2 linked regions of the Astyanax mexicanus genome follow. The protein of the gene in region 1 interacts with the protein of each later gene in a biochemical or structural test. Links are inferred from orthologs where the notes say so. Each region holds a gene or a part of one and is shown in the gene's direction. Other genes may lie near its edges. The genes, in order: card11 and prkcq.

Region 1 (3,930 bases):
ACATTATCAAGAAATATTTACAGTGAATATTCCTACTATTAATAATAATACTTTTAAATTTAAAGTACAAGTCAAACATTTGGACACACCTTAATTAATTGTTCCTAAATTCATTTATTTTCTAAATTGTAGATTCATATTAAATCCAGGAAAACAATTAAGAGACACATATAGAATTATGTAGTAAACCGTAAAAAAATGTCCTCCACATTAATCCCCGTGATCTAAACTTGAATCTTACAGCACTCCATGCCTCCCTCTGCTGAGAATTTTTATAGAAACGAGGATTTCATTTTCCAGCAGGACTTGGCACACTGCCCACACTGCCAAAAGTACCAAAAGTACCAATATTCTAATTTTCTGAGACACTGATTTTTGGGTTTTCAATGATTTTACCAAATTTACCAAACCTCTGGAATATAATCAAGAGGAAGACGAATGATCACAAGCCATCAAACCAAGCTGAACTGCTTATTTTTTTGCACCAGGAGTGAGTGGCATAAAATTAACCAAAAGCAGTGTGTAAGACTGGTGGAGGAGAACATGCCAAGATGCATAAAAAACTGTTATTAACTTTACTTTTTAACTTTATAAATATAAACTTGTTTTCTTTGCATTATTTAAAATCTAAAAGCTCTGCGTTTTATTTTTTGTTATTTCAGCCATTTCTCATTTTATAATAAATAAATGCTCTAAATGACGATATTTTTATTTGGAATTTGGGAGAAATGTTGTCTGTAGTTTATAGAATAAAACAACAATGTTCATTTTACTCAAACATATACCTATAAATAGCAAAATCAGAGAAACTGATCCAGAAACTGTAATGTTTATAGAGCATCTCTCTCTACAGGGTTAATGTATTTGAGTAGACTCTCCTGTAGCCCCGCCCCCTGTGTGTGGGCGGGCCGGCTGTCTCTGAGTGTGTGTGGGTCAGGTGTAAGGTTTGTGTAAGTGGAGGAACTGAGCTGAGCTCCAGGCTGAGATTTTACCTCTCCTTCCTCTGGGTTCGTGGGCCGGAATGTGTGCTGGGTGCTGAGTTGTGGGAGCGGATCTTCTACAGGTGAGTTCTGGGCTGGTTTTAGAACTGGTTTAGAGCAGAGAGCTGTGTGGACAAGTTTGGTAGAAGTTGACGGAGGACGAAGCGCTCGCGCATCGCTGCGCAGCGACGCAACTCAAACCCTGAGAACCTTAAAAACTGCACCTGCTGGAGCACAGCTGAGTGCAACTGAGATGACTTGAGTTAAGTTGAGAAGTATTGAGTTAATTGAAGTCCTAGTCGAGTTATTAGGCTCTTTAAGAAGATCTGGAAGTTTGTGTGTGTGAGGCTGGGTTTTGAGTTGAAGTACTTGTTGGAGCAGTTTTGAGTTTTGAGTGTTTGAATTTGAGTTGAGTTGAGATTGACTTGAAGATAGGTGCTTTTTCAGTTCCCCTAAAAGACTTAAATTTACACAATCTTCTGTGGTGTAAACCAAACACCAAATGTTGTAGTAGTTAATCAGAGTAACCAGTAGGGGTGGGCAATATTATATTGTATACAATATATCGTGACACAGATATACCATGATATTAAAAATCCATATCGTGATAATAGGGCTGTTCTGTCTTACAAGTAGTCTATTATTTACTGTGAAGCTTTAGGTGTATTTATTGTATAATTGTTTTAGTTGCAGTTTATATGCATGCACTGAATATTCTGCAATATTTTTTGCTGCATTATATTATTTTATGCTATATTATTTATTTTGCCACATTATGATTATACTGTTATACTATTATACTATATTCCTGAAATTAATGAATTATTTTAGTTTTCCTATATCGCCAAGTATATCGTTATCGCAAAAATACCCTGAAATATCTTGATATTATTTTAGAGCCATATCGCCCACCCCTAGTTACCAGCATCAGAAACCACAAGTTAACAAGCTAAGTCCCAAGATATAAGCCATCTAAATGTTTGTTTAACACTTTTAAGTTACTACATGATTTCTTATGTGTTCCTTTATAGCCACACTGAATGAGAAGGTTTGTCCCAACTTTTGACTGGTACGGTATTTTTAGGGCTCTATTGTTTATTACTATTGTGGACACAATTGTTTATTTAGTGTATTCTTCTTTTAATAATTATTGTTTTTTTTTTTCAGAAAGATTATGCTGCACAATTTGAAAAGATTTTTGTGAAGTAGTTGTGTTGAGGTTGTGTTCTACCTGCAGAACTTTTTCATATTATTTTCATATTTTCTAATTTATGGCAGTTCATGTTTTTTTTTTTTTTTTTTTTTTTTTTTTTTACAATATTGGAATAGTGCTACAATTGGAAGAGTTGAAGTGAATATGGTTTAAAGAGACAAGAGTAAGCTAAAGTATGCACTATATTTTCTATTTTATCATATGTGCCACCTATAAATCCAGAATTCCTGGTATTTTCTTATTTATGAATATTTTATTCTCTTCAATGACACAGATGCTGTGAAGTTTCATAGTTATAGAGAATTGTCTTGCAATATATTGAGTATCACAGATTCAAAGTATCATGATTTCATCTTTATCACGGGTAGCATATTGTGATAATATGTTTTGCAACACTGCAACTTTGCAACACATTTTATAAATATATATTTTACATGGTAAAGATTGGTGGAAGACAGAGGTTTACTTTATTATGTATTTTAAACTCTGATTAAACTCTTTGTTTTAGTGCTGTTTTCAGATCCCATTGATCTGATTGGATCAAAATTTGATAATTTGTTTAATCCATATACTACTATGTTTTCCTAAAATATCACAAAACATCACATCATTCACAGTATCACATTATATTGAATTGTAATCTGTATCATATCACATCATATCACATTATTTTCATTGTCATATTTGCTCAAAATCTGCTCTCTCAAAGTCATTTAGCCTCACAAATCACAGACTATTTAGACTACAAAACTACATTTATCCAGAGATTGTTCCCATCATGTTTCTGGTCAATATTTATAAGAAACTGTTTGAACAATTGAAGCATCAAACAATGGAGATGACGGGAGAGCTCTGCAAGAGTCATCTAAATGCATTCTTCACAGGAAACATGTCTGCGGTGTTTGAAACCAGTATTAATTGTGCATGTTGACACACCATGAATCATGTTTCTATGTCATATTTGCTCATATTCTGATAATGCCTTATATCACCAGTAAGTTTTTAGGCCTTTACATTAGTCATAAGTCTGATAGTTTTGTGTTTCATGTCTGAGCTGCATGTATTTATTACAGTTAGAGGTGGGGCGAAATCCATTTATTCATACTTTCCTATCGTCTCAAAATATTACTGCTGTATATGGTACAACACACAGCACAGATGGGTCTATTTTAATGTTTTTCCAAACCAAAAAATGACCAAACAAAAAGTTCAGTTTGCTCACACGTGGCTCTATTTTAGTGACCTATAGGCAAGACGTCAACCGCACAACATGCAGCTTGATTTTGGGCATTTCAGTGTGTCTTTGCTATCGTAACGATGGGAAAAGTACACCTTGCACATCTTGAAAAATGCAAAAGGTGTGTACTAATTCTCCTAATTAATAATGGTTGTGGTTTTGGGCGTAATGTGAAATAAATCAGATCAGAATCAAATTGTCACTTTGCATTCCCTTTAAAAACCAGATGTGCTTTGATTTTCCTCTGGCGCATTGCTATTCTAATGGCGCAGTGCTTCTGCGCTTTTCAGCAGAGGAAATTGATCTGCTCGTTCACGCTGTGTTTATTTTTAATGTAAAAGTTGGATTTCCATATTGCAGCATGTCCTTGTGTGTGTGTGTGTGTGTGTGTGTGTGTAAGTAGCAGGAGTGTATGCACATTGAGTATTCAATGCCTGCATTGCCAAAATAGCAATGAATGTTTGAAGATTGACTGTTGTCGGGTTTAAATCAGTTAGTGG
Region 2 (3,930 bases), on another chromosome or scaffold:
CAGCTTTAATATTAATATTAATAATAATAATAATAATAATAATAATAATAATAATAATAATAATAATAATAATTGCCATATTCAATTCCTTAGACGCTTTGCATCCAGAGCCATTGTTTAACAAAAGCTGATAGAATCACATGATCTAGAGAATACTTTACCAACCTTTATCAACAACAAACTGTATTGTCCAGAAACAACGTCCACTTCTCTGAAGACTCAGACGAATCTGGAATGAACCATCACATATTAGAAACATATTGTAAGGGCTGGTAAGGGCCCGGCCTCAGTGTCCTCCAGGGCATCAGAGGGCGCGCCAGGCCAGCGCCGAGGGCTAATTGGCTAATTATCAACACCTGCTTTCAACAGCTTATAAGCAACGCCAACTAGCCACTCGGCGCTGGATCTTTGAAGCTCGTGAGAGCGAATCTATGCCGGTTTTCCGAGCGAGCCCCGGCTCTTTATATTTATCTCTTTCCCTTTCGAGTTTGGTGGAGCTGTGTAGAGCAGTGAGCTCCACGGCCGCCATCTACCTCTCTAGTCTGGTGGAGCAGAGCAGTGTGCTCTCCTCCGCCGTCACTCTCTCTTTGTGTCTGTGTGTGTGTGTGTGTGTGTGGGTGTAGCAGAGGCGAGGCACGCGGTATGCTCACCCTCTCTCTTTCCCTCGCTGTTTCTCCCTTCTCTGGTGAAACAGCATTTAATCCACAATCACCTTAGTTCAGTTTTGTTTTCTTTGGAAGTCCTTTTATTTTAGTTAATCCTTCACCTCGCGCCATAAGAGGTAGCCGCTTCCAGGCGATCCTTAGTTACGTATTCTCCCCCTCTCTCTCACTCACGCTAAGCTTGACTTTTGTTTTCCACCCGTTTTCATCCTCCGCCCGTTTTCATTGCTCCACCCCTTTCGGCGGAGGTCCTTAAGAGTGATTAAAGCGGCCGCGTCCCAATCCGCTCGCTGGTTCAGCGGTTAGAGCATTGGGCCGCGACCGCGACAGCTCGATCCCCGCGTGGAGCGGGGTTTAATAATAATAATAATTATATATATATATATATATATATATATATATATTATATAATATTAATATATATCCTATTAATATATATATTAACGATTATATATTTATTATTATTATTATTATTATTATTATTATCCTTTTTTTTCTTGGGTTTACCTGCTTCGAGATCTACTGCTCTGCACTTGGATTCTACAACCTTCTGGGCTGGAGAGCTACCGCTCCCCAACCCCCTTACACATATACCAGACCCATCTGAATTTTAGTTTTTTAGAAGAAATGGATGAAAAGGACCATCCAGACTGTTATCAGCAACAAATCCAAAAGCCAAGGTCTGTCATAGTATGTGGTTATGTCAGTATCCTTGGTTGTTTAATGTTATTTACATTTATGTGATGGCAATTACACTTAATAAAAAAAAAAAAAAAAAAAAAATTAACACAATTACAGTCAAAAAGGATTTTATCAGCCAAATTCGACATGTTACAAAACATATGTAGCACTGATGGAGTGTTACTGCACAAAGTTGCCCAGGTTGGATATTTTCTGTCTATCTTCTGCTGCTGCTGGTGAGAGGAAATCGGGTGTGTTGGGGGCGGACTGCGGTCACGCACACACACACACACACACACACACACACACGTATACACACTGACACAAGCAACCGTACCGGCATAGTGTGGTATTATTCTGAAGTAAACTTCACCTCCTGTGCTGCTCGCATACACACACACACACACACACATACATGCGCTTACACACGCCTACCAAGTAGAACTTCACCCTCTTCCCCAGCAGCAGGCCATACACTGGGAGCTGGAACTAGAGCAGGCTGCTGCCGGTAAGTGCTTTATTCTCCGTCCTGCATTCTCCACCAATTTCTTCTTCACTTTTTTTTTAAATGCTGTCCACTCTCTCTCTCTGTGTCTACTCTTTCTCTCTCTTCACAAAGACATAATTCAGCCTGATTGTGCTACGGGTTACCACTTACATGGTTAGTAATTTAATTATGCCAAATTTTGTCTTTATAGCATAAAAAGTACGGCTTCTGGAAAAGTTAGAATTTTTGGTTAAAAGTATATGGAAATATTTTGATGTTTTTTATGCGGAAAGTTTTGACCATAACAGTTTTGCTTGTTTACTGACTGTACAAATGTTATATTACATATATTCAAAAGCTTTAGCGCAGCATATCTTCATATACTTGAGTCTGTAAATGAGGAGCGCGCTACTGCTGTCGAAGTCATAAGTGAGGAGCGGTGATGAAACAGGCAGAAACATATGTATAGCTTATCTAGAGTAAGTGTATGTTTTTCTTCTACAGCATCACTTACAGGAAACCACACACACAGTACAGGCAAATTTCATACTCCACCAACCCCAACGCTCCTCACTGTCTGCTCTCATACTGTAGCATCTGCAGCAGCATCCTGCTTTGTACAAAAATGGTGTTCATGCTTAATAATATATCCAATTGAGGTGCTCAGAGAATGTCATTTATTAAGTAATAAAACAGAATGTAGTTCTGTATCTGTTTTTTTTTTGTATACTTTATTATTATCCTCATTCTTTCACCCTGTTCTTCAATGATCAGGACCCCACAGGAGAGACCACCGCAGAGCAGATACTGTATTCTTTGGGTGGTGGGTCATTATTTATCTCAGTACTGCAGTGATTAGCACTGATTATCAAGGTGTATGAGGTGTATGAGGTGTTTTTAAATTTTTAATTAAACCTTTTTTTACCCAGCAAATCATTAACCCTTCTGTTATTTTCTGGGTCTAATTGACCCATTTTAAAGTTTAAAGATCTGGGAAAAATAGTTCTGCTTCCCTGAATTAGTAAAATTAACATATTATCTGCAAATGGTTCATCTCAACTTTTGGCAACCACCTGCAAAAACAGCATGTTAGGCAAGAATGCATTCTGTAAAGGAGGCAAATTTTAGATCTGATTTTAGACTGTAATTTAGTGATATGAGTGGCAAAGGATAAGCTGCTATCTTACCAAATACCTAGATATTTGTATTCGGTGACATGGCATAATTTCGTGCCCCGCAGGATACTATATCTTGGACTGGTGGAGCTTTACAGGTGTTTATCTGTAATTGTAAGGTACAGATGAACTGTTGAACACTATGAAAACTATTTTGAAGTGTATTGGTTACTGACTCTGAAGATGGACCCGTTGCAAAGTGTGTATTTTGATGATGGTACGAGTGAATCATATACAGCAGTGCTGCTGGAGTTTTTAAACACTGTGTTTAATCTCTCACTGTTCACTCACACTATTAGACACTCCTACCTCTATCTGCTTCACCTTGTAGATAAAGTGAAATCAGAGTCAAGTGTTCTAAATCTGTTGCTGCACAGTTTTTACAGTGTTGGTCATCCTCTAGTCCAGGGGTGTCCAAACATTTTTTTTTGTGTCCAAACATTTTTTTTAAATAATACTTTTTTCCTGATTACTTTCATTTACACACCATTTTACTTGACTTACTATCTTTATCTTTGACAGTGTTGTGTAAACTAAGATTTTACAAATTGATGTTTCATTTCATGATGTCTCTTAATATTAAACTCCTTAATTTGACAACTTTTAGACTTTTTTGCCCCTTTTCTGTGCTAGAAATGTGCACTCTCTCCGCTTTTAGACTCTTTGGCCCGTTTCTGACACCTAGAATTCAAACTTTGACTCTCACATTATAAAAACCTGCTTAACAGCGGCCCAACTTTCATTCTATTTCTAAAATACCTCACAGGGCGCTCCAAAAAAGGAAGCGGACCGCAAATGGTCAGCGGGCCGGAGTTTGGCACCCCTGCTCTAGTCCTTCATCACTGCTCACACTGTTGGCAGGATATTTCTGATTGGTTGAGTATTCTCAGTTCAGAAGCAACATTAATATTTTTGAAAACTCCAG

The links.
Region 2: of the proteins of card11 (region 1) and prkcq, one has a biochemical effect on the other in vitro, tested with the Homo sapiens proteins (2 studies listed by BioGRID). The link is inferred for Astyanax mexicanus from reciprocal best matches to the Homo sapiens genes CARD11 and PRKCQ.

What each region holds. Positions count from the first base shown.
Region 1 is NC_064410.1:55,733,589-55,737,518, forward strand, and holds the start of card11 (caspase recruitment domain-containing protein 11), read left to right. Parts: upstream 1-906; 5' UTR 907-1,063; intron 1,064-3,930. UniProt on the Homo sapiens protein: Adapter protein that plays a key role in adaptive immune response by transducing the activation of NF-kappa-B downstream of T-cell receptor (TCR) and B-cell receptor (BCR) engagement.
Region 2 is NC_064409.1:20,909,382-20,913,311, reverse strand, and holds the start of prkcq (protein kinase C theta type), read left to right. Parts: upstream 1-1,705; 5' UTR 1,706-1,851; intron 1,852-3,930. UniProt on the Homo sapiens protein: Calcium-independent, phospholipid- and diacylglycerol (DAG)-dependent serine/threonine-protein kinase that mediates non-redundant functions in T-cell receptor (TCR) signaling, including T-cells activation, proliferation, differentiation and survival, by mediating activation of multiple transcription factors such as NF-kappa-B, JUN, NFATC1 and NFATC2.